Linked DNA regions of Elephas maximus indicus. The protein of the gene in region 2 purifies or fractionates together with the protein of the main gene of each other region. This does not show direct contact. Links are inferred from orthologs where the notes say so. Each region holds a gene or a part of one and is shown on either strand. Other genes may lie near its edges. The genes, in order: TMEM30A and ATP11A.

The links.
Region 1: the proteins of ATP11A (region 2) and TMEM30A purify together in Homo sapiens (co-immunoprecipitation; 4 studies listed by BioGRID and IntAct, with this or other methods). This does not show direct contact. The link is inferred for Elephas maximus indicus from reciprocal best matches to the Homo sapiens genes ATP11A and TMEM30A.

The regions. Positions count from the first base shown.
Region 1 is NC_064819.1:138,653,610-138,669,112, reverse strand, and holds the start of TMEM30A (cell cycle control protein 50A), read left to right. Parts: upstream 1-7,662; 5' UTR 7,663-7,760; coding exon 7,761-7,997; intron 7,998-15,503. UniProt on the Homo sapiens protein: Accessory component of a P4-ATPase flippase complex which catalyzes the hydrolysis of ATP coupled to the transport of aminophospholipids from the outer to the inner leaflet of various membranes and ensures the maintenance of asymmetric distribution of phospholipids.
Region 2 is NC_064841.1:78,994,175-79,008,949, forward strand, and holds the start of ATP11A (phospholipid-transporting ATPase IH), read left to right. Parts: upstream 1-7,894; 5' UTR 7,895-8,024; coding exon 8,025-8,033; intron 8,034-8,917; coding exon 8,918-9,040; intron 9,041-14,775. UniProt on the Homo sapiens protein: Catalytic component of a P4-ATPase flippase complex which catalyzes the hydrolysis of ATP coupled to the transport of aminophospholipids, phosphatidylserines (PS) and phosphatidylethanolamines (PE), from the outer to the inner leaflet of the plasma membrane.

The DNA.
Region 1 (15,503 bases), on a different chromosome or scaffold from region 2:
AGCCTTTGCAGAGCCAATTGGGTAATGGTTCCAGCAAAGTTGGGTGGGGGTATGGGTGGGATTGTGCTCTGATGCCTTCTATTTATCAATTCTGTGGCAGAACTGGTAGGCTCGTAGCTACTTCCAGCCCTAACTTGGTTTTGCCTTATTTGGAACAAAGAAGTGGGTTTTTCCTATTTATTATTTAAAGATAGATCTATCAAAAAATTAGACAAGAAGGCTGTCAAAACCAAGATGTTTTCTGCAGGAGAGTTGCAGGTCAGTGAGCAACTGGGGATCTCAGACACTCCATGGGGTCTCTTACGACAGGCAGTGTACTGTATCTGCTTAAATGGGTTTTTCTCTTGACCACTGTTAGATTAAATGAATCACCTGAGCTGCTTAGTTTGAAAGCTATTGGTCCAATCCCCAGGGGACCGAGACCACGGTCATAAAAATTGCAAAGGAAGGAAATGTCTCCAGTTTTGTTTTCTTTTCATTTCCCATCCACTTGTGCTCCACCAACTAGCTGAGGTCTACTCTCTCAGGAAGAAGAGAGAGGAGAAAATGGATTCTTTGTACCTTCATCCCCTTGAGCTCAGGGATAGAGTCACCCTTAATGAGCAACACGCTCCTCCTCCCTTGGTTAGGGAAACAGAAGCAACTTTCCTGGGCCCTGTGCTTTTTGGCAGTAGGGCACATTGCACCATACATTTTTTTTTTTTTTGAGTGTCATTAAAATCCACTATTGAAATTTGTCTTTAATGATATCCCAAGGAACCTATGAAAGCTATCAACACTGAGGCCTCCCTTCAAATGGATTACCTTGGGCAATACTCACTGACTGAGTTGTCCCAGACATAGCAACCTGATCTGCAGCTATTGTGTTGGAACCCAGGTCCCTGGCCTGCAGTTCCCAGAGAATCAGTCCTCGTTTCTGCTCTCTTCCTCTCTCTCTCTTCAGGTTAACCAGTTGTTCCTTAATCTCCCTTGCATTATCACCAGTATTTCATACATAAAAAATCTTTAAGGAGAATTTTTTTTTTCCTCTTCAGGAGCACTTTCCTATTCCCTACACTTGCCCCATTCTGCTTCTGGCATTTGTGCATAACGGTGTCTCCCAGTTCGACCATAAGCTTCTTAAAGATATGACTTGTATATGCTTCACAGTGAATATAAGACACAGGATAAATGTTTGTAAAATGAAATATAATTCCTACTAGGGAGAGGCCTTTTCCACTCTTCCTTCAGCTGCCATTTCTCCTTTTCCCCAATCTTTACAGATGTTTTTCGTGATCACAACCACATTCTCTTTTTCAGCCTTTCCAGCTCTCAGTACACATTTCTTTCTCCTCCTTGAGAAAAAGCATATGCTTAGTCAAAGTGGTGGGCTATTTATAGGCACTCTTTGACTCCTAACCCCAGAGAGTTGCTCCTTCCAGGGTACTCTCTGCTAGATCTTCCTTACCAAATTATTCTGGCTGCTGCTGCTTCCCTTTCAGAATCCTCTGTATTAAATAAGGCTCTCAACAATCACTTATTCTAAGGGAAGGCATGCTCTCTCCAAAGACAAGGGGCCCTCCTATTATCAGGGTACCGGATGGTCTATGCTATGTTATTCATTTTCCCTTCATCATGAAGCCAAGTATTGGTTCCCACAAGGAGCATTGGTGCAACTAGGTCATATGACATCGACCTTTATAAGTTAACAAACTAAAACCCAGAAATGGAGGGTACCAGAAACCTGTTCCCAGGGCAACTGCAAATTGCTGAGATCTTGCTTGAGAGAAAGAACATGATCACATTCTTTGGATCATGTAGGATACACAGTCTTGCATGGCATTAATATAACTTGCAGCATAAGGCTCATTCTTTATTTTTGATCCTGTTCTCTGCTGGGTAGAGAAATACAATATCATTCAGACCCTAGGACCCATTTCCTCACAGTTTATAGAGCTTGACATCATAAAGAGGATGAGGTGTGGTACCTCCTCTGAGCACCTACCTTGTTCACACATCTTATATGGCACTGACCTCATTATATTTCAATTGTTTGTTGGCAAGTTGTCTCTCCCACTAAAATGTGAGTTCACTGAGAGTAGGTCAGGTCAACAAAATTGAGTATCTTTTATGTTCTAGGCACTTTGCAGGTGTTGGAGAAATAGAAGTGAATAAAAACTGTTCTGACCTTGAGGAGCTTATATCTAATAGGAAAGACAGACGTAAACAGGTATTTTTCAATACTATATGGTAAGTGCAAGGATAGAAGCATATATAAGTTGCCTTGAGCTCAGAGAGCAGCTCTCAGCTCAGCCTGAGGGGACAGAGAAAGTTTCTTCAGTTTGGCTGCTGACCTGAATCTTGAAGGATGAGTGGGAATTAGCAAGGCAGTTTCAGTGGAAGTGGGGTCTGAAGTCAGGGAACAGAGGGTTGCTAAGTGATTGGGTTGAGGAAGTGTAGTTAGCCCAGATTATTCTTTCCAGAAGATTCACTGACAATAAAAACGATGTTGTGGAAGTTTGTTGAACCCCGACCATGTACCTCAAAGTGTGCTGGTCAGAGGGAGGTCATGAGAGGTCTTGGTCTTTGTTGTCACGACTGGTTAGTTCCAGTAACTAAAAAGCATGTTTCACTTCTGAGAATCAACAAAAGTTGACTTCACAATTAAGTCTATTTTGTGAGGGCCATCCTTCAAAAATACGCTGGAGTTATTTTAAGAAAATAGATAAAATCATAGGTAGTAGTGACCCAACTGTTTCAAAAAACAAATAAAATCCCTCCCCTGGGACTCCCAATAATTTAACACTTGGAAAAATAGAAAAATGTAAGTTTAAAGTAAGTATAAAAATAGTCCAAACATACATTCTGTAGAGGATTTACATTTCTTAGACCTACCTTCCAGTATCTCTTGATGATTGTCATAGAATAAGCAAGTATTCTCCTTCACCCTCATGCATTTTAAAAATAATTAATTTCACTATAGTATCTGTAACAGATGTCAGTTGTCTGTCAACCTAAAGATGGCTACATCATATTTGAAGGGAAGACATTATCTATAATTGATGGTACCTACTGGAAACCCTGGCGGTGTAGTGGTTAAGTGCTTCAGCTGCTAACCAAAAGGTTGGCAGTATGAATACACTAGGTGCTCCTTGGAAACCCTATGGGGCGGTTCTACTCTGTCCTATAGGGTTGCTATGAGTGGGAACCTACTTGATGGCAACAGGTTTGGTTTGGTGTTTTAATTGGAAAAATACATGCCACAGGGATGTAATCAACTGAAACATTCTATGGAATGAAAATCTGGTAGTCTGAGGTCTCATTAGAATTATATTCTTTCATTTAACAAAAGTGTAGAATTATGAGAAATGGAACTCTTTTTTCCTCTCAAAACAAAACTCTTAGGTAGTCTTCTATGGAATTTTGGTGTCATTGCTCTTACCTCTAGTGAGACTAACCATTAAAATATCCAGTTTGATTTGTATTTCTGAAACTGACTATGGTTATTCAAAGACTTGCAAAATCTCTCATCACATCACTAATAACTGTAGACTGATCAAACAATCTCTCAGTGTGAGAACAAAAGGATTTTCTTAAACGCCTAGCCAGAAGAGTTCAATAAATATACTACATAAAAATCAGGAAAAGGTCAATTTTAATAGAAGCAATTTTTTAAAATCCGTTTGAATCAATCTCTGATGCAATAAATGCAAAAAATTAATTTTATTATGAAATTCTGTTATCACTCTCCTAAGAATCCTGAGATAATTAAAAACAAATAGCATTTAGTCCCACCAAAGTTCTCCAAGGTAATCTGATTAATTGACTAGAGAAAAAAATTTTTTTTGCTGCAAAAATACACAAGTAAAAATACTATCTAATGACTGAAAGGAAACCCTGGTGGCATAGTGGTTAAGAGTCTGGCTGTTAAACAAAAGGTCAGCAGTTCAAATCCACCAGGTGCTCCTTGGAAACCCTGTGGGGCAGTTGTACTCTGTCCTGTAGCGTCACTATGAGTCGGAATCAACTTGACAGCAACGGGTTTGGTTTTTTTTTTGTAATGATTGAAAACTATTTCCAATCACAAAGAAGTTTCTCTTAAAACTATGGCACTCTTCTCAGCGGTCTTCAACTTCCTTAAGCATCATCATGCTACAGGTAAGAAGTGGTTTGAATATGATTAGAAACTATAAGGACTAAAGTATCACCAATATCACACAACCAACCATCACTGGAGCGTAAAATAGTAAAAAAAGCCAGTTTTAGTTTCCTTTTTTTAGTTCTCCAAGTCATTCAGTAGTTACTTTTCACGGCTTAAGATATCCTATAGTTTTTTCTTAAGGTTCCTGTTTACTTCATTCTGTGGCTTAAACACAGCAATTGAACTAAGAAATGAAAATCTCCAAAAGCTAAATACATATACCTTTTCAGATTGTTGGGTTTGCATCTGTTCTGTCATTTTGGATTTACTTTTATATTGGGGCTCATGCATTCTTTGCACACTTACTGTGGTGACCTGGTAGTGAGAATTAATAAATGCTATTTAGATATAAATTCCACATTTACCAGGAATCAGCAAACCAACAATCATTTAAATAACAGAAATAGAATCTAAATGTATCATTAACACACATACACATGCACATACACACACATCAGTCACTCCTAGCAACCACAGTTTGAAAATGCATATACTGGTAATACATTGTGAGAACGACCATTCTCTTTTCTTGCCCCAGACAACACTTTTTTAAACCCCTACTTCAACTGTAAATGAAAAACTACCTAGTAAGGACTATCATAAAATAATGTGTGACCAAGGGAATCACAAAAATCTGAGTCCCCTGAGATAATGATGTAGAAGTGAAAGAACACGTTAGCTGGGTAAAAAAGCATATTGTGGTGGCAGGGTAGAGTACTGGGAAAGGAACTGGAGGGATATCAAGAGATCTGGGAAAGTAATTTCATCCCTTTGGCCCTCACCTGAAAATGAAAATTTCAGACAAAAGTCTAAGGAAGCTTTCAGTTCTACAAGGCCATGTTTCAGTCAAAATGGAGTTTCTAATAAGAAAGAAAAAGACAAGGAGTTACCTAATCTTTCTTATGAACATACAAAACTAAAGAAAAAGGAAAGCAGATCAATACACCATTATCACTCAAGACAAATACAAAAAGATTGATGAAAAGACCATTTATATGGAATGCTGGAATAGCAAATTGCTTAAGAACTATCACATTTATTGAGTATGATGATACAGGCAGATATGGGGAGAAAAACTTGCCTTATGCTATATAATTTCACATTATGCCCAATATTATTATATGTATTTTTACTAATCAACAGACCTCAGCGAAATAAAAGGACTCCATGCCCTCCCCATCAACTGTGCTGGGTTGTTTTTCATTTGAGCCTGAGGTTGAAGGATCAAATGAAATATAGACCTAAGTATGCTACAGATGGAAACCCTGGTGGTGTAGTGGTTAAGCGCTATGGCTCCTAACCAAAAGGTCAGCAGTTTGAATCCACCAGGTGCTCCTTGGAAACTCTATGCCTTGTATGCATGCGAAAGCTGGACAATGAATAAGAAAGACCAAAGAAGAATTGATGTATCTGAATTACGATGTTGGCAAAGAATAATGGAGATACCATGGACTGCCAGGAGAACAAATAAATCTGTCTTGGAAGACGTACAGCCAGAATGCTCCTTAGAAGCGAGATGGCAAAACTTCATCTCACTTACTTTGGACATGTTATCAGAAGGGACTAATCCCTAGAGAAAGACATACTTGGCAGAGAGGGTTAGTGAAAAAGAGAAAGACCCTCAACAAGATGGTCTGACACAGTGGCTGCAATAATGGGGTCAAGCAGAGCAACAATTGTGAGGACGGTGCAGGAGAGAACAATCTCTCTTCTGGTTATACATGGAGTCGCTGTTAAGTCATGTGAGATCAAGATCAAGCAAGTCAGTAGAGAGCACTAAGCCTTTAAAAAAAAAAAAAAAAGCCTTACATGCCTCCAAAACCTGCCAAATAGATATTTGATTGGCTCACATCTTATGACATGTGGTCATTCAGAAAAAAATTTAAATGCAAACTATGAAGATCAAACACCCTTTAGTTTCCCTTTCCTTTAATTTCCTTTCGAAAGTCTTACCTGTACCTTATTTAAGAAAAAGAAAGTTTGAGCATTTGTTTTCAGATAACGCAATTTCATCTCTGGTCTGATTTCGAAGAAGTCAGTGTAATGTAGATTGTATATACATTAAAAAATTACAAATAATATATGTTTATTACCGAAATTTTGGAAAATACAGAGAAGTGCAAAGATGCAGAGAAACAGAGAAACATTGCCCATCCTGTCAACAGAAGTTACCACTATCTACTTTTTAGTTGGGCTCTATATGTCTATACTACTGTGGTATCCTGATTTATTCACTTTTTATATCCTGAGAATTTCCTTGGGTCATTAAGTACTTGGCAGTTTTAAGGTGTCTGCACAGTATTTCTTTTTATTTCAATGCTACAATTTATTGCAATGTTATACGTTCTGTTGTGCATAGGGTCGCTGTGAGCATGAGACAGCACCTAACAACATACTTTCTTGAGATTTTTTGCTTATTAGGAGTCTAAAAAGAGTTACAGCTTATTAAAAAAGACTCCTTAAATCAATGTGCAAAAGAGAAATGCGGACAGAGTAAGGAAAAAAAGGAAACCCTTGACCAAAAAAACCAAACCCACTGCCTGAGTTCGAGTCCGACTCATAGCGATCCTATGGGACAGAGTAGAACTTCCCAATAGTTTCGAAGGAGCGCCTGGCGGATTCGAACTGCCAACCTCTTGGTTAGCAGCCGTAGTACTTAACCACTACGCCACCAGGAAACCCTCTAAGAGGACCATTAATGGTAGAAAAATAGGTGAAGATAGCTCAATTAGAGGCAAGATAATAAGGTTAACCAAGTCACATTTATTTATTCTTGACTTTAGGACAAAAGGACAACACCTCACGGAACTCGGTCTTCACATTCGCACCGTGAGTGGCGGTTTACTTAGAGGTGACAGTTTTAAAACCTAAAAAAATACTGCTAATCCCACCAGGCTCAAGCTCCCTTGCTGTGATCTTTTTAAATGATCTAACTTCCTTCAGAGAGGGCATCGAGGTAAAAGCAAAAACCTGGCTGGTGCTGAACCCACCAGAAAGACCTCTTTGTTGGCAGTTTCAGGGCCGACGGAGGTGGCTCAGACCGAGCACACGGCTGGCGAACTAGAACGGCTGTCCGTCACCATGATAACCAGAGCCGCTGCCAGGTGTGTACGAACAAAGGCGTCCGGAAGTGAAGCGAAAACACTTCTATGGCGCAAGCGCCCAAGCGTCTTCGCCCTCAGGGCCGCGCATGCGCTAACGTAGCTTCGCGCTCTGTGGGCTGAGGCCCTCACTTTGTCGTCACAGGGCAGATGATCAAGGTGCGTCCGCGTTTTCCCTCCCCCTTCTATCCTCTTCCCCTATCCCCTCCCCTTGTCCCTCAGTCTTCTCCCTCCTTCCTCTCTCTTACCCTGGCGTCCCCAACCGACTCCCGCTTCCGGTCAGCAACAGCCTGCGGAAGGGTGTCCCGCCTCTTCCGCCTCGACAGCGGAGGTGGTGGCAGTGGTGGCGGCGGCAGCGGCGGGGGCAGCGGCGGCGGCGGCGGCTGCGGCGGCGGCGCCTGCGCGTCTTTTGTCAGGGTCAGCAGGCGGGTCCCCTGGGCGATCCCCCTGCGCGTCGCTGAGGCGCGCCTCGCGGGTCGATGGCGATGAACTATAACGCGAAGGATGAAGTGGACGGTGGGCCCCCGGGTGCTCCCGGGGGCGCCGCGAAGAACCGGAGACCGGATAATACGGCCTTCAAACAACAACGGCTGCCCGCCTGGCAACCCATCCTCACGGCGGGCACGGTGCTACCTACCTTCTTCATCATCGGCCTCATCTTCATCCCCATTGGCATCGGCATCTTCGTCACCTCCAACAACATCCGCGAGATCGAGGTGAGGGGAGTGAGCGGCGGCGGGAGTTGGCGCTGCCTGGGGGCCGGCTGCTTGCCGCCTGCCTTACTCTTTCCTCGGCTTTCTAGAGGTGGACAGGCGGGGCCCGCCCTTCCCCACACTTTACCTCTCTTCCTCTATTTTTTCTTTCTCTTTCGGCGAGTTTTCTGAATTTGCAGTTTTTTTCTAGTTTCCTCCTGCTCACGATTTACAGTTAGAGGGTAGGTCAGGTGAAGAAAGCGCCTTCAATGAGCAGTTTGTGTGGTTCTGGGGCGGGGGGGGGGGTGTTGTCCAACGGAGGTAGAAAAGAAAAGTTATATCTAGATGTAAATCCAAGGGAATTGGCATGGTCAGGGTGGGAATTTTTCCAGGAAACGGAGAGGAACATTTTGGCCATTGTGGGGAAAAGGACCCAGAGGCATAGAGGTGTTGATGATTTCTGTGTAACGAAGTTGTCATGTTAACCAGGTCGTGGATTAGGACATACGACTGAAGAATGCACGGCATTTTTTTATTTTGAGCTAATTCGAATGTTTTTAGTTGTAGATAATAAGTAATCTGAAACTTCAATTCTGGTTTTCTTTTTAGACAGCGTTTATTATCATGCTCCACGTTAGTCCTAATTTTCCCTCCTAGATTTTAAACTTTTCAAAAAGCGCCAATGAGCACACTCGGGGGTTAAGTTGTACACTACCGAACATTTTACTGGTATAATGTAATAATTGTGGTCGGCAGTTCGAGTCCATCAGGCGCTCCTTGGAAGCCCAGTGGGGCAGTTCTACTCTGTTCTTACACGGTCGCTGTGAGTCGGAACCGACTCGACGGCAATTTTTTTTTTTAATGTAATTTATGGCTTAACAGAGAGCCTTGTATTGGGGAAACATCTTGATTTCTGTAGGGTAACAGTAACAGTATTTTCACCTGCAGTGGTAAAGGTGGGTTAGCACTAGAATGTAAATACTTTGTATAAACCAAGCCAAACCCCTTATATGGAGTCAATTCCGATTTACAGTGACGTTATATGTGTCCAATATTAAACATCTCATCCTCTTTTTTTGCATGTTTGAGAGTATTTTTTATCTATTTGAAAGGGCAGGGACTGGTACCAAAGTTTCTGAATTCCCTCTTTCTGTTCTATCAGATTTTGTCATTTTTTTTCAGGTTTTATTAAACACTTTAAAATTAACGTATGTGACTTAATGGGGCTTTCAGAGGAATTTTGTTTTCAACTATTGCAGTAGGAATAAAGGTGCTTATTTTCTAGTTTGATTTACAGTGTTAGCACTAAAAGCGAGATCAGTATTTTTTTAATTGTACAGTGCTTCTATGCTAATAACAGTAAGAGGAATAGTATCTATAGCATAACTTAGTTTTTAAATATTTTACTAAAAATTCATTTTTAGTTTAGTAACTAAAGAAAGTCACTATATATATATTTTTGATGTATTTTCATTATCTCCCTAACAGTTCTGCAAATGTAGTACTTTTTATTTTCCTAAGGACAAGGATCACACATTATTTCAAGACATGGGCAAAGGGGTGGAACATAAGGACCATGGGGTTTATTCTGGAGTCAGGCAGAGTTTGATTTTAATTCCTGGCTCAGCCACTAACAAGCTTAGAGCTTCGTTTGGTTGGAAAATTTACTTAATCTCTCTGAAGTCTCAGTTTCCTCATTTGCGAAATAGGTAAAAATTATGCCATCTTGCAAGATACGAAAATTAGAAACGCTGTAGGTAAGATGCCTGAGACTGTTTGTACAGTAGTTACTGTTATTACGATGATCCTTAATCCAATGAGAAGTGGAGCCAGAGGTTGAGATTTGCTGATAAGCCAGTTAAGAGTATTATAAAATTGAGGCATAAACCCATATGCTTTATTTCTAGACTTAAAAGTTTCTCACTACGCTAAGCTGCTTACTACAATGCTAGTAATTAAGTAGGAGAAAAGAATTTCTTAACATGAGAATTTGAATCATCTTATTTAAATTTCTTAAATATTAAGATGAAAGGAGCAATAACTTGGCATTTTATATGAATGGGTATTTACTAGGTTATCAGAACTCAAGTTCTATTAATATTTACTATACTATGAAAATAAATATTTTCTTTAAAACTTTCACATATTGAACTAAAATGTGATTCTTCCTACTAAGTAGTAGGTGAAATTGACATTTCTTAAATAGTTCTCATGTACAATTCTGATTTCAGGTTGCCTGAAGAGGATGTAGCAGCTTGAACACTTAAAACGGCACTCAAGTTAGAGTCAAGGCATTAGAGTTGAAGTCCGAACTCTGTCCCTGTCTAGTATGTGGTCTTAGGTGCATTTTTGGGGTCTCTGTTTCTTTACTTGAAGAGCGAAAAGATTCAGACTAGATGATTTCTCAAATGCTGTTCAGCTCTAAAATTTTGACTTCCAAGTTAAATGTAATTTTTTTAACTCTTCATTTTCAAATTTTATTGCTTTTGGAACCAGAGAACTGAAAATTAGGAATGACTGGGAATTTTACACCAACACTGACATTGAGTTGTGCAAATAGAATCCTTTTTTTTTTTTTTTGAGTGTTAAGTATGTATAGAAAAAAAAAATGTATAGAGTGATTCTAAATTGGATTTGGGGTTATAAGAAGAACCTGGGGAGCTTTTCCAAAACACGCATGTTTCCTCCAGGTCTCTATCCTTTAACCACTAGTTTAGATTAAAATATGTTGAGGGTTATTAAAAGTAGTCGAGTATTGAGAAATTCTTGCCAACATTCACTTCCAGCCTATAAGTTACTCACACCTTTTTAGTTTATTTCTTCATTTTTCAAAATTTTAAGAAACTTCTTTGCTGTATTTATATCAGGTTACTAGGGCAAAGGAGACTTGTCCAATCAAAATGCTTTTGTAACGTATCTTAAAGTTCTAAGATCAGAAATCAAAACTTTTGGTACAAAAATCAGTTGGTTCTTCACCTAACTCCCAGAAGTATTAATACTAAAAAAATTACTACTCTTATAAAGTGCCTTGCATTCCCCCAAAAAAGGTGTAGAAAAAGAGATTTTTTATTTTAATACTTATACTTGGCCATATGCTTCCCTTCCTTGTTAGGTTTATATATGTTTTTTAGTTGGTTTTAGACTTTTTCTGTAACCTAAATAAAATTTGCTTATTAGAAAACTACCATTGTTAATTGTATCATTTATAAGAAAATATTTTAAATATTATCTTCATTTATGATTAGGAGTAAAGAGTGAGTATTTCCTTTAATTTGGCAATTGTAGGTGTCAGGTATATCTTTCTGCTGCAGTGGTGATGTTTTTGTGGTCTAGGGCCATTGTTGGTGAGGCTGAGATATTAATTGATTGAAACTCACTTGAAAAATGTAGGGAGCAAGGTTATTAACTTTTGCAAAGACATTTATCAGTGTGAAGTTATATACATTTAAATTATGATTAGAATAGGATGAGAACATAATCCAGAGTAATATTCAGTTAATTTAAAAACATTTACTTCAAATTAATATTGCCAAAAGTGTTCAAGATGTGCTTTTATGAAACCTAGTAGATTAGCCCTCCACCCCATTTGATTAAGAAGTCGCCGTTCTCTTCTTCATCTTATATCATGTACCTTCCTCAGTTATTTCTTCCTGATTTCTTATATACACTGTTAATTATTTTTATTCCTATATAACTTGGATTCTGTATGCCTCAGGGAGTAAAAATGCTTTGCAGTTGACTTGATGATAAAAACCCAAACCCAGACTTGATGATAGGAACACTAACTTTGAACCCCAGTTATGTGACATTACACCCTGAAATGAAAATTCTTTTATTCTTATTAGTATACTTATATTACAAAATATTTTACTTACTATATTTTGAATTTCATCAATAAAAATTTGTGCAAATTAGTCTCTCTTGTTATATAAGAACCAACATACTTTCAGTCTTGCCCTTTCATCCACAAAGCTGAAAGTATTTACTCTCTGGCACTTTACAGAAAAAAAATTGCCTACCCTTGACTTAGATTTTTAAAGATACATACTGGCAAACTTGGCATTTGTTAGAAAAATAGCTGTGTTTAACTTAAGCTCTAATCATCAGTAACATTCAAGGTAGGTGTAACAATCCCTGGTAGTGGTGTGTGCGCCACCACCATCACCGTATGAGTTTAGTCAGTATAAAATACTTTAGCTAAATTTACCCTTAGTGTCAGCTAAGGTAAGGTTAAGTCGTATAAAATTCAAGCAGACTAAAGAAAGTTGCTATTAAAATTTTTACTTTAGTTAATCTTTTGTCTTCTTTGGAGTCTGTAAAAGGGACTCCTGATAAGTTCTTTAGTGTGAAATAATCAGTTCAAGGGGGTACTTCAAATACCATTTTTAATTTAATCTGATTAATACTTAAAATGATTTACCTTATTACTCAGCATTTTGTTGAGTGACCTCTTTAAATCTTATATTGATTTCCTTTAAGACAGATAGATATACATTCAAAAATGGAAGTTTTCCAGTGTTTCTTTCTATGCAGTGTAAAAAACTGCATGTCCTTCAAATTCCTCCTTTCCCACGGCGTTAAATTCAGAGTCTGTTTCTTAGGAATAGGGTATATTTTTAGAATTGCTAAGGATAAATGCCAGTTTGGTTTAGGGAAACAATTACAGTGGTAGCAAAACAAAGCTGAGAAATATGATCACTCTTAAACTCATCTACTGATCCACATCTGCTATTCTATTTTGCCTCTGGTTCTTTGTCTTTTGGATTTAAGCTAATGGGCAGGTCTCCAACTGTCATTGTATTCTGCATTGTGCCTTACATGCTTTTGACATTTAGTAAACATTAAATTTTAAAGGTAAGGGAACTGTAGCTTCTCTTCCACCTGGTAGCCTCTTTTTAAGATAAATTATGTTAACTTTAGAATAAACTTTGCTTTTTGAAATCTGATAGATTTCTGCACCCAACAGATTTTATTACAATCTGGACATTAAGTCAGGCTAACCTTGAATTTTAGCTGATGAAGAACATAGTTGTTATTTGTGGGTAAAACTCATAAACTGAGTTAAATTTATCAAGAGTTTTAATCAATATTGGGCATTTTCTATTTACAAGGTGATGTTCTGGGCATAGTGGGGGATAGGAAAAAGTTCGAGGACCGGGCCCTTGTTTATTCTCTCTTGTGCTCTCTTTTATCTGTCTTTCTTTTTTAACAGAGAGCCCCTGTTCCTAAGGGACCTGAAATTGGGTGGGGGGAGCAGGGGAAGATGGGACGTACATATAGGAGGAAAACTGAGCATTGCTAGATGATTGACACAGACAATATATCTTGGTAGTTCAAAGGAAGACAAGATCACATATGTCTCTAATGGCCATGGAAAGCTTTGTGGAGCAAGTGAGTTTTGAGTAGTGTTACCCGATTAGGGTCCATGCCCTGGAACCGTCTAGCCAATGGAACATACTCCAGTTCAGAAAGAGTGAGAAAGTTTACTAAGGACATGTATACATCACCGGGGACCTGATAGCAACACAGGCTGTCTCTGTGGAGTCCCAAAGAGCAATTTTACATTACATCTTATATGGAATATTACAAGGGTTAGAAGTGTAGTCTGCAGATGGCCTGGCAGGAGGAGTTATTCATTACAAGATAGTGATGGAAGACTCTTTATCAGACTAAAGAGATACATACTGGACATCTCTTTATCAGGCTAAAGATATACATATCAGATACTTGGGCTCTGATTTACCTGTGGGGGGTTGTAAGTCACAGGTGGTGGGAGGGAACAAAACAAAGTTATTTCCATCAGATTAAAACAAAGAACAGAGTCATTAGCATTAGGTCAAAACAAAAATCATCAACAGAGGTATGTAAAGGAGGAGACAGGCAGGGGAAAAATAAAAACTTATAGGTTCATTATGGCATTAGTTATGTCAAGCTCTCAGTCACCCATTTTGAAATAGGAGAAAACATGCTGGGGAGTATTGGGGTCACAGTAGGATCTTGAAGGATAAATAGCACTTCTAAGAGGACAATTTGGATGCATGCCAATAAAGGAGATTAATATTAGCTAAGTTCTGGTGGCAGGAAATCAAAAGCTATGTAGAGAAAATAGGAGTAAGGGCAAATAAGCTGTGCCAGGTTGTAGATAGTCTTGGCTCTTTGATAATGTATTAAACTGGGGAAGTGATACCAGTGCATATAAGCTAGGATTAGGTTCAGCTATGAGTAATTAAGATTTGTATTTTCACATAAAATCCTTTAGGAAAACAGTATAGGGCTACTATAGAGACTGTTATATTTATTTGTTTTTAAGGCTGTTTTATTGAGATCTCACTGTCTACCTTATTGCCCTGCCATTTTTAGGGATTGGCTCTTGTGTTCACTGTCCAGAATGGAAGCTAGAGTTCCAGCATTAAATCTTTTTTCAGGCAACAGTGTGGAAGAATGAAGAACAAAAGGACAAAGGGGTGTTGCTGTTATTATTAGTTGCTGTCAAGTCGATTCCTACTTATGGTGCCCCCATGTATGCAGAGTAGAACTGTTCCATAGGGTTTTCAAGGCTGTGACTTTCGAAATCAGATTGCCAGGCCTGTCTTTGGAAGCACCTCTGGGTGGGTTTGAACTGTCAGCCTTTCAGCTAGTGGTCAGGCGCCTTACTGATGAAGAAAGGAATAAAGACATTTTTAAAGCAGGTTCTTGGAAGCTGCCACATACCTTCTCCACTTAGTGACAAGTCCACACTAGCTGCAAAGGAGGCTTGGAAATGTAGTCTATTCTGATAACAAGGTTCTCAGCTAATAATTGAGAGTTTTATACTGTGGAAGAAAGGTAGAACAGAAAGTGGGGTAGGTGGCTGTTAGCAGTATCTGTGACATAGAGTTATAGGGAGATTTATCTGGTAGTGATAATTGTATGTTGACTGGATGGCAACTAGACCTAGGTCATTTAGATGTGAGAGTTTAGTAGTAGTAGTAGTAGTTTAGACACTGAGTTAACAATGATTGCATTTTTATATTGCTTATGGCATTGAACTGAACCTGATTTCATAATGAAAGGTGTTTTGTTATGTGAAAAGCAAATCAGGTGTGTAGCTTTGCTGAAATTTTTTTTTTTAAAAACAAGTTATAGAAGGAATATTGAATATCATCACCTTCCTCTGTTTTCTTCAAACGCTTCTTTTTTTCATGTCTGTTCAGCAATATAAATGTGTTTGGTTTCTCCTAAAAAAATGAAAAAATTCTATCTTGATTCTCCTTCAACGTGTTGCCGTTTAGTCAATTCCAACTCCTAACAAAAATACTAATAGCTAACATTTTTTGAGTGTTTACTCTGTTAGGAATTTTGCATATATTATGTGCAGTTTGATACAGTGACACTTGTAAGAGTAGTGTAATTGTTCTTTCCATTTTTTTGTTTTTAATGAGGAAATTGAATCTGAGGTTAAGTAGTTTGCGTGAGGTCACATAGCTTGGATTGAAACCCTAGCACTGTGACCTCTTGTTTTGTTTCCTTTAGGTGCTTATCTGTATTTCT
Region 2 (14,775 bases):
GATGCATACCCATGATCTGCCCTCAGAGGTGACAGAAGGAATCATAGTGGCAGTATTTAAATATATACACGTATGTGTATGCACACACGTAAAATCACCATATCGTTGAACTCAAAGGTGTTAATTCCCTTTCTAGGTGGTACAGTCCCTGGGTGTACAGATGGCTAAATGCTCTACAAGCAACTGAAAGGTTAATGTCCAAACTTACCCAGAGGTGCTTCAGAAGAAAGGCGATCTGCTTCCGAAAGGCCACAGCCTTGAAAATCCAATGGAGCTCAGTTCTCCTCTGAAATCCATGGGATCCCATGAGTCAGAAGTTTACTGAATGGCAATTGGCTTTGGTTTAGGTGGTACAGAAAGGCCTTGTGGGGTGGCACAAAGGTCATTCCTTGTCAGAAATGGTCAGACTTTGGACAGTTGACCAGTTATGCTCTCAGGTTCCTGGTCTGAAATATTAGGTTGGCACCTTGAATACTGGAGAATTCCTTCCAGCTCTGGGATTCAGTGATGTCCCTACATTTTCATTTACAGGATGAACACGTGTGAAATGCGATTATATTAGGGTCCTCATTCTATTATAGTTATTTGCTATTCATGATTCTTTTTCTAGAATAAGGGGTGTGTTGTGGGGTGGAGGAAGTTATGTTTAAAGACACTCATCCCATTTCTTGGTGTTCTGTTGGGAAATCCAGCTGGAGAGAGATCGTGTTGGCCTTCTATTCATCTAGCTCTGGTTTTGAGTAACCGTAGCTGTTTAAAGGTGTGAAACTTCAGTTCTGACTGGGATTGAGGTTTGAAGCTGATAGAGGAAGCTGGTGGTGATACCTGTACTTTCCAATGACAGAAAAAGAGAGATGAGAAATTGCCTTTTGGTGTCCAGTCTCACTCAGTGGAGCCTTTTACATGTATTATAACCCTGCATTTAGCATTGTTCATGGTGTTTTGAAACACTTTATCAAAGTACCACCAGGGAGGGTTGCTAGAAAGAAGTGTCTGCTCACCACAAGTGCGGGCTCTCCAGTTACCCTGCGTGTCGCACCAGCAGCCCCGGGGGAGGACGCCAACAGACGGGCAGCAGCTGAGACACTTGGAGTCGGAAGTGGACTCCTGACTTGGAGTACCTGTAGTCCCGGGGCGTTTGGCTTTTCAGAAGCAGAGCTGGGTTTTTGTTTTGTTGTTTTAAATTAATTATTTTTAGCAGAACTGTTCTTATCGTTGTTTTTCCACTGCCCTTTGTGAAGAAGTGAGGCCAAATAAGGTGAGCTCAGAATTAGCTCAGAGTTTAGAACACCCGAGGCTAGTGTGCCTCTCAGACAGCTGCTAGATTAGCAGTCCCGGGGACTTACCCCACTGTCTCAGTGTGAACTCAGGATAAACCAGGCTCAGAGCTCTTATCAACCACCTTGGGTACCAGGGGGAGTGAGAAAAGGAAGCCATCAAGATTTGTTAGAAAGATGCCAAATGGTATCTTTTGGTTTTATTTTGCTTATTTCTTATAATTTCTTTGACATAGCAGGTGATGAATCAGCTCTTGGGGTGGTTTTGTTTTTTATATATTCCAGAACATTCTTAGTCCTGCTTGTAAGGGCTGTTCTGGCAATTCTGCGGGCACCTCGGGCAAACTGCATCTGACCATTCACATCCTGGGACTGTGAGCAGCCTTCATCTCCTGTCGGGTCCCTCCCCCTCTGTTAAAAGGTGATTTTCAGAGAAGGGCAAAACAACAACTCCATGCAGATGTAAAAATGAATACCTCCTGAATGATTTTATTTTATTCATGATGAGGACGCCACCAGATATGCTAACTGATTCAAGGGAAAAGCTGAAAGAGCACAAAGGTGCATGGAGTGAAGAAATGTGGAAATGAATGGGCAGATCACCATAAAACTCATGTTTCCACAGGGAGGCGATTATGTGGCTGTGAGAATTATTTTGTGCCCTTATCAGTCACCTGTAACTTAAAGGGAAACCCTGGTGGCGTCTTGGTTAAGTGCTACAGCTGCTAACCAAAAGGTCGGCAGTTCAGATCTGCCAGGCGCTCCTTGGGAACTTTTTGGGGCGGTTCAACCCATAGCGACCCTACAGAACAGAGTAGAAAAAATTTTAGGGTTGCTATGAGTTGGAATCGACTCGATGGCAACGAGTTTGTGTTGTTTTTTTTTAAATAACTTAAAGAGCTGTAAAATAGCTCAAGGGCAGTCACATGGGAAAGGCGTGTTTTATGTACCCAGTGCAGTCTTCCATGGAAACACTCATTTTTCTCTATGCCCTCATGGTCTAATAGTCTTCTGAATGTTGAAGAGACAACACTTTTCCAGTGTGTAAAGTGTATAATGCAAATGGGTATGGTTTTAACTGATTAACTTAGAGTTAGGTTTGGGTGGACAGGAAGAATCTATTCCTGACAGTTTAGGGTTGCATTTGGCCAAAGAACGGTATCGAGGAATGGCCTCCTCTTAAACATATCTAGGGATGTCCCTGGGTGGTGCAAATGGCCAAGCACCTGACTACTAACCAGGGTTGGCTTTTGAATCCACCCAGAGGCACCGTGGAAGAAAGACCTGGCAGTCTACTTCCGAAAGATGGCAGCCACTGAAAGCCCTGTGGAGGCAGATACTTTCAAAGGGTTTATTTGAAAATCTAAATTTTTAATTTATTTCTGTAAAAAGAATTCATCTATTACAAGCATGACAACAGTGTGAACATTTGTTAAATCTGAATAGTTTTTTACTTTCTTTCGTTTCTGTATGTTTGAATTATTTCATAACATTTAAAAAGTCACTGTCTGTCTCTTTAAGTATGAGTGAAAGTGAGTGGAGAACTTTAAGTATTATCAGTGCTGAGAAACTGAGTATACCTACAAACAGTGGCCAGCCCATACGTGACGACAGAACTCTGACCCACATCCTGCAGCAAGCAGCCTGAGAAGCCCAGAGTGATCAGGACTTGGTCAGGACTACCAGCTTTCTCCAATCACGATTAACAGGAAAAGCCAAATATGCCCCCTAAACCAATCATGTAAGAGGCCACACCTGCAGTGAGCCCGCCCCCAGCTTCCCCGTGCCGTCAGCCTCCAATCAGAGCCTTCCTCTTTCTTCTCTCTGAAGCTTTCCAACTCCCTGGCCTGCTACATACCAGCAGTCGTGGCTGACTTTCTTGCAAGCTCTGAAAAAGAATCTGTTTTATTTGGTTTTTTGGGGTGGTTGTCGTTTATTTCCGCAGTGATTAATTTTGAAATCTGTTCTTTACATACTTAAAGAGCATATTTAGAGAACATTGGTGGTTCAGTGGTGGAATTCTCACCTTCCGCCTGGAGACCAGGGCTCAGTTCCCAGCCGGGGCACTTCCCGTGCGGCCACCACGCCTCTGTTGCTGGTGGTTTGCCTGTTAACTGTGATGCTGAACGGGTTTCAGTGGAGCTTCCAGACTAAGACAGACTAGGAAGAAAGGCCTGGCAGCCTACTTCCAAAAATTAGCCGGTGTGAACACTATGAATCACAACGATCGTATCCTCAACCAGTCGTGGGGATGGTGCGGGACCAGGCCTCATTTTGATCCGTTGTGCATGGGGTGGCCATGAGTCTAAGGCAGAGGCAACGGTAGCTAACGGCAACCACAAACATGGGTCCGTCTGTGTAAAGTCACGCGTCGTGCCTGTTGTCCAGCTAACCTCTTTCCCAGTTCCCTGTGTCTCCTCACTGATGCGGTAATCAGCTAACAGCACAGAACAGGTCCCGGATACCTCATTTTAGCCACCAGGATAAAGCACGGAAAAGCACTGGGAATTCTTCAGTGCTGTCAGCTTTGCTGTCTTGTTGGAATTACTGCTTTACTCCTGGGACTCCTTTGTTAATTAGTACTTAATCAGTTGTGGACAAGGCCACATGGCTTGCTTAGATTAGTATTGTCACATGTGTGCTGGTTGACACTGAACTCTGCTTAAAGCATTTTGCTAATTGATGATTTACGACATTTTCATGTTATTAGCCAGGCTTTCGTGGTGGTGGTTATTGGTTGGAGTATTCTCTGTCAAATGTGGAAGTCATACCAACTCAGTCAAATGATCTGTAGGGTGAGGAGTCCCAAGTCCTGGCCTCAAGGGTCAGGAAAAGTAGGAATAATATTTAATGAAGTGCCACAGCACACATTGAAGATGGATCTATAACTTCTGCCACTTGAGCGTTACCTTGCACAGGCAACCCGTTTGTTGGCAGTGGCCTCGAGGAGCTGTGGCCTGGGATTACCCCTCAGCCACCAAATGCGAGCTCTCCTTGCCTGTCAGAAGGACTGCACTGCCAAGCATGTGAACAAAGGTTTTGCATTTTTTAGGATCAATCCCAAATGTCAAAAAATATCTTCAGAATAAAAAAGAATTAAGGGAAGGAGTCCGTGAAGGATGTTCAAACCATGTCAACATGATTTGCAGTGACGTCTCTTGTGGCTCCTGTTTATGGGATTACAGTTATCCTTTCTCCAAACTCCTACCTCCTTCTAGAAAGATGAGTGGGAAGGTAGGCTGTGGTGGATGTCCTGTTTGGTTATGATTTCACTGTAGAAGGGGTGAGATGGGAGAGAAAACCTGTTTGTTAGCCTGTCTGTGCAGTGTGAACCACATCTTTTTATTCTTCACATGGCCTTTCTGTCACTTCCCCCTCCTATTCCCTGTCTCACCTTAGCCCTTCCTCAGAGAGCGGCCTTTCTCCTCCGGCTCCAGACTTGGAATTTTTCCAGCAGTTCCACTCTTTCACCGTTTCGCACCATTGAGAGCGCTGATGCGGGACCAGAAAAAAGACAGAAAAACAAGACAGAGTTCATGCTGTAAAGCCTTTTTTTTGGCCCAAGTTCCAGTTTGAGAGTGAACACTTTGGCTGACGTTTGGTTCAAGACTGGTTACATTAATAAATTACGTAAAAATAATCGGGGCCAGTACATTTGTTTTCATTGCTAGCGTACAAAGAATGAGAATCTGAGAGCTGGAACGATGACAAAGCTCACCTCGTCTAATCCTTTGATCTCACTGCTGATGAGATCTGATGCAGAGATGTTTAGTGACTTGTCCAAAGTCACACAGCACACCAGCAGCGAACCAAGTTTCCTGATTCCCCCACACAGCGCTTCGTTGTTGTGTGCTGCTAAGTCAGTTCTGACTCAGAGCCACCGTAAAGGACAGAGGGGAACTGTGCCATAGGGTTTTCTAGGCTGTAATCTTTACGGGAGCAGATCACCAGGTCTTTCTCCAGCAGAGGCTGCTAACCAAAAGGTTGGCGGTTCAAACCCTCACAGTGGCACAAAACATATAACTCTGTAAATTGACATAACTAAAAACGTCAGAATTACACCAGGCAGTCTCCCGGAATGTGGTTTGTTCTATTTTCTACCTTTTGAGCATTTAACTATAGTCTGCTTAGAATTTGAACAGTTGTGAAGAGAATAACATTGATTTTAAATCACCTTGATTTTGAATCTGAACCCAAAGAAATGTTTCCCACCCATTTAATAAATGTTCTGACCTCAGAAATTATTGCTTTTTCTTCATCTTCTTTGAGTCCTGTAAGGCTAAGCTAAGGAGCCAGAGTAGAAGGGCGGTAATGACTTCACTGATGTTCCAGGGACACTGAGTTTCAGTCCATCGAGTTTTACTCTGTTAATAAAAGCAGGGAGCCTTAAGGAATTCTGGGTTGTGGGCTTCTGTTTTCATACTTCAACGAACAATACAAAGGTGGCTTTCTTGTACAGAGTTCAGCTTTCATTTAATATGCATATAATTCATTCTCAAATTAATTTTTTGTTTTCATGGTCTAAGGAAGCCCTAAGGCATGCTGGTGTGCAGTTAATTTTCTGATCTTGTCACACAGACAGGAATACTAGTTCTTCCTGTTAAGTGGCAGTTGTTTAAAATGACATGTAAATTTTGAGTTTTTGTGTTTGAGTTGTTTAGTGTAATTATTTAATGTTGTTGTTAGGTGCCGTCGAGTTGGTTCTAACTCATAGCAAACCCATGTACAACAGAATGAAACACTGCCAGGTCCTGTGCCACTCTCACGATTGTTGCTCTGTTTGAGCCCGTCGTTGCAGCCACTGTGTCAGTCCGTCTTTTTAAGGGTCTTCCTCTTTTTCGCTGACCCTCTGCTTTACCAAGCATGATGTCCTCCAGGTACTGATCTCTCCTGGCAACATGTCAAAGTATGCGAAGTGTAGTCTCGCCGTCTTTGCTTCTAGGGAGCATACTGGTCATACTTCTTCCAAGACAGGTTTGTTCGTTCTTTTGGTGTATTCAATATTCTTTACCAGCACCACAATTCAAAGGTGTCAGTTCTTATTTAATAATAAACATCTATTATTATTTTTTTTTTTTATTAGACAGCGTCAGGACTATGAGTTGGCCTCAGTAAAGTTCATCCTGTGCCTCCAGAGAGCAGAGGTCATGTTTGTCCTCCGACGGGAAATGGCAGGGAAGCATGGGGCCCTGTGCACAGAGTGAGCACCAGGTGTGACGCCCAGGAGGCTTTCCGGCTTTCAGACAGTCAGCGTGGCGGCTCTTGAGATTCAGCTGCTGTCTGTGAAGCTTAGGAGCAAGGTTTTCAGGATTTTCATTTTTGTATTCAAAGTCATATTTTTATACTTTTCTTTCTTCTTCTGGTCATGTAAAATATATATTTTTTCAATATGACTTTCTGAAGAATCAGAAGCATCAGCTTGGCTGTGTTCCAAGAAAAGAAAAAATCAAAGACCTTTTCTATTAGCTTTCATATGTAGAGGTTTTTAAAGTCATTGCTCTTTATTGACGTTCTCATGACGGGCGGGGAGGAGAGAGGAAAGGCTGCTGTTGGTCAGCGAGATTGTCACTTCAGATGAAGTCAGAGCTTGCTTTGTGCTTTGCCAGAGATGAGGCAGCCTGGCCTTCAGCATCACCAGGAGGGCTCGTACCAGTGCTGACCAGCAGAGGAGGCAGCCTGGCCTACGGCATCACCAGGAGGGCTCGTACCAGTGCTGACCAGCAGAGGAGGCAGCCTGGCCTACGGCATCACCAGGAGGGCTCGTACCAGTGCTGTCCAGCAGAGGAGGCAGCCTGGCCTACGGCATCACCAGGAGGGCTCGTACCAGTGCTGACCAGCAGAGGAGGCAGCCTGGCCTACGGCATCACCAGGAGGGCTCGTACCGGTGCTGTCCAGCAGAGGAGGCAGCCTGGCCTTCGGCATCACCAGGAGGGCTCGTACCGGTGCTGTCCAGCTTGTTTTGAATCTGCTCCCTGCCATCTGGGGCAATAATTACTCTAGAACCTCCAGGCTCCTCTGCACAAGCTGCATCCCACGTTTTTGCAGAGGAAAATGCACGTGGCTCATTTATGGTGCTGAGCCACTCACATCTGACCAGGTAGCTGCTTTGTCTATTTCTGTTCCCAAGGAAACGTGAAGCCTCATCTGCCTGTAACGAGCGCCATTTCGTGTCTGCCGCACATTTCTGGAACGTGATTGGAGTTACAGAGACTAATTTGGTCTTTTTCCTTTAGTTTACACAGAGTCTTATGGCAAAGCTGGGCCCTAATAAAAGGAAACACAGTGCACAGACACACAGGTGGAATTTATTAAAGTAAACGCGCAAACCTTTATGCAGCTGCTATGCATCCTGTGCTGTGGAGGGATACAAATGTCAAAGAGAGTTTTTACCCAGGAAGTTGATCAATGACAATAGTACATGCACACACATGTGCACGCACACACACATGTGCACACACGCGCGCGCACACACACACACACAAAACCAATGGGAGACTTGTAAACACGACATGGAGCAAATAGAAATGCTGGATTGCTTATGTTGCCCCAGCCTCTTGGGCTTCGAATAGTCGGGATTTCTCGAAGCAGCGAAAGGGATGGGCCGTAGTAACGGAAGAAAGGAGGACGCCTAGTACTTCGTTAAAAATCTTTCGGGCTGGTGCTTTGCTGTATGTTTCATTTCTGTTTTCCGACTCCATTCTCTTGGCAACTTTGTGAGTGAGAAGGGCTACCATCACTGCCTCATAGATGACAACGGTAAGGTTCAGAAATACCACCTCGCCTGCGGTTACACAGCTGGTCACTGGCTCAGTGTTGACTGAACCCAGGTCTCTTTGGCTCCTGTGCCAATTCGTCTTTCCTGTTACATAACATTGCCTTTCTTCTCAACTAGGAGTATTTCAGTCTCCTTTTCAGCACTGTTTTATCACACCTCAGAAAAGCTGACGGTTCTCCCAGAAGACCTGGAATGTGGTACCAAGACCACACAATAGGGCTTTTATTCTGAGCCTGCATTCTAGTCTCAGTTCTGTAGCTAAAGTGTTTAGTCACCTCAGAGCTGGGAGCACACTGTCTGGTTGAGTGTTTTTAAAAGATTTTTCTATTCAGAAGATATGTATTTAATGTCTTTTGTACACAAGACTCTCAGTAATACAAAAATGAATCAGACCTGAGTCCTTTTTTCTATCCAGAAAAGCCTTGAGTTAAATAATTCTTAGATTTTGAATTAATGGTTTTACCCCTTGTTTTCAAAAACTTCTAATCATCGTTGTCGTTTCTCTTCGAGAAGCAGTAAGATTTTGCGCTTGTGTTCTGTTTCTCAGTGAACCCACCCTGTCTTAGTTCCACTGACACTCAGCTTTTGAACGTTACCCATGTACCACTTCCTGGAGTACAGACAGCCTGCTCAAATGATCTACTTGAAGATATTTGGCCACTAATTTGAAGAGTTCATATTGTCAGAATTGGCCCCTAAATCTGAAGAATTTAGCTCTCCTTCTGTAGCCCAGAATGATGCTCTAAGCCAGACAATATAGTTTCTGTTAATATGAACAAGCATAAATGAAAGCCAGTGTTTTAGGTAAGAACTTTTTCACCGGAATTATGAGGTGCCTGAGATCATCTTTTGCTTTTTTCCACAGTGTGCTGGAGAAGAGAACTGGGTGGACAGTCGGACCATCTACGTGGGGCACAGGGAGCCGCCTCCAGGCACCGAGGCCTACATCCCGCAACGATACCCGGATAACAGGATCGTCTCTTCCAAGGTGACTTTGTCTTCTGGTCTGGGTGTTTGTTCATTACCTAGAAGAAAGTACTGTGGAGAGTATTAGCAATTTATGACAGCAAACACCAACACTCCTCCTAGCACTGCCCTCATAGCTGCTATTCTACTCTTAGCTAGGGACTTCTGATTAGAACTTTACAAAGGGTTTTTGCATTTGTTATCCTTTTAAGACTTGCCAGCTATCACAACACGTTTCCTTTGATTCTCTGTTAAGTACGTTGTGGACCCAGGGCCACGTTTGAAGTCCAGGACATTGACTTCCTACTGCTGCCACTTATTAGCTGTTTGGCCATGTGCAAGTCATTAACTGCTCTCAGCCAGAATTTCCTCATCTGTAAAATACATACAGTACTGCCACCTTTGACATAACGTGTAAAATTGCTTTGTAAACTCTAAAACTCTCAGTAAATGTAAGAGTTTATCAGGTGCTGCAAGTTTAAAGTGGGAAAAATGTGACTTGAACGTCATCACTTAAATGAAGCGTGTTACTCTTCACTGACTGGAGAATGGAACCGTAGAGGACATGTTTACACAGTTAGAGAACAGCCAGTAAAATAGTCCTTAAGAATAGAATTTAGAGTTAGTTTTTGGCTTTCAAACAAGAAAAGTAAGTGGTGGGTATATTAGTTTCCTGGAGTCCCTGAGGGATGCTTACAGTTAATGTGTTGGGGTGTTAACAGAAAGGTTGGAGGTTTGAGTCCATCCAGAGGCCCATCGGCAATCTACTTCCAAAACATCAGCCATTAAAAATCTTATGAGGGCATGGTTCTACTCTGACACATATGGGGTTCCCACGAGCCAGAATTTCCCTGAGGCTGCCATAAGAAAACCCACAAACTAGGTGACTTACAGGAACAGAGATTTGTTGTCTCACGGTTCTGGAGGCTGGAAGTCCAAATCAGCATGTTGGCTGGGTCAAAGTTTCTTGTCTCTCCCACTCCTGGTAGCCACGAGTGCTCCGTGGATATAGATACATCTTCATAGGGCCGTCCTTTCTCTGTCTCTCTGGTCTCTTGTTTTATGAGGACATCACTCAGATTGGATTAAGACACACCCTGTTCCAGTATGATGACATCTTCAAAGGCCCTATTTCCAAACAAGGTCGTGTTCACAGGTACCGCGGTTAGGACTTCAACATATCTTTTTGGAAGAAACAGTTCAATTCATAACACAAGGCGACATGCTTTCCAGATTATAGAGAACTTTTCCTTTCAGGTGCGCCAGTGAGTGTGTGCGTGAACGTGTGTGCACATGCCTGGCTGTATTAGATATGTGGATCTAACTACACGTACACCTGGTTCCTTTCTGAGTGATCAGAGTGCCCCATGTTGTTAAAAATACTTGACAACGGAAAAGCTTCACTTTCCCAGGCACTTTCTTGATCTACTTGGTGGAATGTGGCTGGAAGCTAAGGATGCTTTATTTATTATAAAAGCCCCTGGTAAAGGTGTTTGGGTGGGGATAACCTACAGCATTGATTTCATATTCCATTCCAGACCCCTTTGTTATCTGAGTCAATTTTTAGAGCCAATTTATAATTTTCATATTTTCCTTTTCAAATATTTGTGCAGACAGTTGCTAACAGTGATTTTAAGACAGGTCTTGCTTTTTACCACGATAAAAACTGCATCATTCTTTTCCTTTGCCTAGAGTATATTTCTGTCCCTGCTGTTGCAGCTCCTTGACCACAGCATCCCTGTATGCACTGTGACAGCTCCTTGACCACAGCGTCCCTGTATGCACTGTGACAGCTCCTTGACCACAGCGTCCCTGTATGCACTGTGACAGCTCCTTGACCACAGCGTCCCTGCGTGTACTGTGACAGCTCCTTGACCACAGGTCCCTGCATGCACTGTGACAGCTCCTTGACCACAGGGTCCCTGCGTGCACTGTGACAGCTGGAAGCATCACTGGTTTCTAATAAGGGAAATCGTATTCCGGGGGATGTGGAAGGATGGGGGTGTTGTTACAGAATTGCTGGTTATCAGAGACCTTTTAGAAAATATTTCTTCTCACTAAGCTCCTTCATACCAGGAAGCTCTAGAATAGGAACAAATAGAATTAAAGTCAACATGCTTTAAGGAGAATAAATTCTAGGAGAGAGTCAGGTGTCCCTGACTGCTGAGCCCACATGTAGGATGGGGTATTAGGTGCTTGAACACCTTCCATCTCAGCCTCAGAAGAAGAAACGGAACCGTGCTCTCAGGTGTGTTTGTGCATCGCATGGTCTTCATTCTTCACAGAGGCTGAGACTGGTGGCTTAATGTCTCAGTTTCTACTAGATTGTGGTAGGTAGTTTCAAAGAAAAATACGCATAATCTGTTGCTAATCAAAGCCAGTAAGGAAAAGGCTCTGAGAAAGGTTAAAGGCTTGGAATCTAAGCTGATAGCTGGGTTGATAGTGGCATTGATAACCTGAAATGGAAATCTAGAGCACATAATTGAGGATTCTTAGAATGTATGAAAAATGGAACTTAATTTATGCAACTGAGTTTACCACCAGTTTTGCAGAACGTGCTTGTGGCACCGTATCTTTGTTTTCTTGAGAATGAAAATTCTATTTCTACCTTTAAAAGAAGACTGCTCAGAAAGGCTTCTTCACCATATCCCTGATATCAAAACCAGGTAAAGACATCACAAAAAAAGAAAATTACAGACCTATATCCCTCATGAACATAGATGCAGAAATCCTCAACAAAATTCTAGCCAATAGAATTCAACAACATATCAAAAAAATAATCCACCACAACCAAGTGGGATTTATACCAGGTATGCAAGGCTGGTTTAATATTAGAAAAACCATTAATGTAATCCACCATATAAATAAAACAAAAGACAAAAACCACATGATCTTATCAATTGATGCAGAAAAGGCATTTGACAAAGTCCAACACCCATTTATGATAAAAACTCTCAGCAAAACAGAAATTGAAGGAAAATTCCTCAACATAATAAAGGGCATGTATACAAAGCCAACAGCCAACATCACTCTAAATGGAGAGCCTGAAAGCATTTCCCTTGAAAACGGGAACCAGACAAGGATGCCATTTATCACCGCTCTTATTCAACATTGTGCTAGAGGTCCTAGCCAGAGCAATTAGGCTAGACAAAGAAATAAAGGGCATCCGGATTGGCAAGGAGGAAGTAAAATTATCTCTAATTCCAGATGACATGATCTTATACACAGAAAACCCTAAGGAATCCTCCAGAAAACTGCTGAAACTAATAGAAGAGTTTGGCAGAGTCTCAGGTTATAAGATAAACATACAAAAATCACTTGGATTCCTCTACATCAACAAAAAGAACATCGAAGAGGAAATCACCAAATCAATACCATTCACAGTAGCCCCTAAGAAGATGAAATACTTAGGAATAAATCTTACCAAAGATGTAAAAGACCTATACAAAGAAAACTACAAAGTACTACTGCAAGAAACTAAAAAGGACCTACTTAAGTGGAAAAACATACCTTGCTCATCGATAGGAAAACTTAACATAGTAAAAATGTCTATTCTACCAAAAGCCATCTATACATACAATGCACTTCTGATCCAAATTCCAATGACATTCTTTGATGTGATGGAGAAACAAATCACCAACTTCATATGGAAGGGAAAGAAGCCTCAGATAAGTAAAGCATTACTGAAAAAGAAGAAGAAAGTGGGAGGCCTCACTCTACCTGATTTTAGAACCTGTTATACAGCCACAGTAGTCAAAACAGCCTGGTACTGGTACAACAACAGGCACATAGACCTGTGGAACAGAATTGAGAACCCAGATATAAATCCATTCACATATGAGCAGCTGATACTTGACAAAGGCCCAGTGTCAGTTAATTGGGGAAAAGATAGTCCTTTTAACAAATGGTGCTGGCATAACTGGATATCCATTTGCAAAAAAATGAAACAGGACCCATACCTCACACCATGCACAAAAACTAATCCAAGTGGATCAAAGACCTGAACATAAAGACTAAAACGATAAAGATCATGGAAGAAAAAATAGGGACAACGTTAGGAGCCCTAATACAAGGCATAAACAGAATAGAAAATATTACCGAAAATGACAAAGAGAAACCAGATAACTGGGAGCTCCTAAAAATCAAACACCTATGCTCATCTAAAGACTTCTCCAAAAGAGTAAAAAGACCACCTACAGACTGGGAAAGAATTTTCATCTATGACATCTCTGACCAGCGCCTGATCTTGAAAATCTATATGATTCTGTTAAAACTCAACCACAAAAAGACAAACAACCCAATCAAGAAGTGGGCAAAGGATATGAACACGCACTTCACTAAAGAAGATATTCAGGCAGCTAACAGATACATGAGAAAATGCTCTCCATCATTAGCCATTAGAGAAATGCAAATTAAAACTACGATGAGATTCCATCTCACTCCAGCAAGGCTGGCATTAATCCAAAAAACACAAAATAATAAATGTTGGAGAGGCTGCAGAGAGATTGGAACTCTTATACACTGCTGGTGGAAATGTAAAATGGTACAACCACTTTGGAAATCTATCTGGCGTTTTCTTAAAAAATTAGAAATAGAACTACCATGCAACCCAGAAATCCCACTCCTCGGAATATACCCTAGAGAAATAAGAGCCTTCACACGAACAGATATATGTACTCCCATGTTTATTGCAGCTCTGTTTACAATAGCAAAAAGCTGGAAGCAACCAAGGTGTCCATCAACGGATGATGGTTAAATAAATTGTGGTATATTCACACAATGGAATACTACGCATCAATAAAGAACAGTGACGAATCTGTGAAACATTTCATAACATGGAGGAACCTGGAAGGCATTATGCTGAGTGAAATTAGAGGCAAAAGGACAAATATTGTATAAGACCACTATTATAAGATCTTGAGAAATAGTATAAACTGAGAAGAACACATACTTTTGTGGTTGCGAGGGAGGGAGGGTGGGAGAGGGTTATTTACTGATTAGTTAGTAGATAAGAACTACTTTAGGTGAAGGGAAGGACAATACTCAATACACGGAAAGTCAGCTCAACTGGACTGGACCAAAAGCAAAGAAGTTTCTGGGATAAATTGAATGCTTCAAAGGTCAGCGGAGCAAGGCGGGGGTTTGGGGACTATGGCTTAAGGGGACTTCTAAGTCAATTGGCAAAATAATACTATTGTGAAAACATTCTCTATCCCACTTTGAAATGTGGTGTCTGGGGTCTTAAATGCTAACAAGCAGCCATCTAAGATGCATCAGTTGGTCTCAACCCACCTGGATCAAAGGAGAATGAAGAACACCAAGGTCACACGATAACTATGAGCCCAAGAGACAGAAAGGGCCACATGAACCAGAGTCTTACATCATCCTGAGACCAGAAGAACTAGATGGTGCCTGGCCACAACCGATGACTGCCCTGACAGGGAGCACAACAGAGAACCCCTGAGGGAGCAGGAGATCAGTGGGATGCAGACCCCAAATTCTCATAAAAAGACCAGACTTAATGGTCTGACTGAGACTAGAGGAATCCTGGCGATCATGGTCCCCAAACCTTCTGTTGGCCCAGGACAGGAACCATTCCCGAAGACAACTCATCAGACATGGAAGGGACTGGACAATGGGTTGGAGAGAGATGCTGATGAAGAGTGAGCTGCTTGGTGGACACTTGAGACTGTGCTGTCATCTCCTGTCTGGAGGGGAGATAGGAGGGTAGAGATGGTTAGAAACTCGCAAAATTGT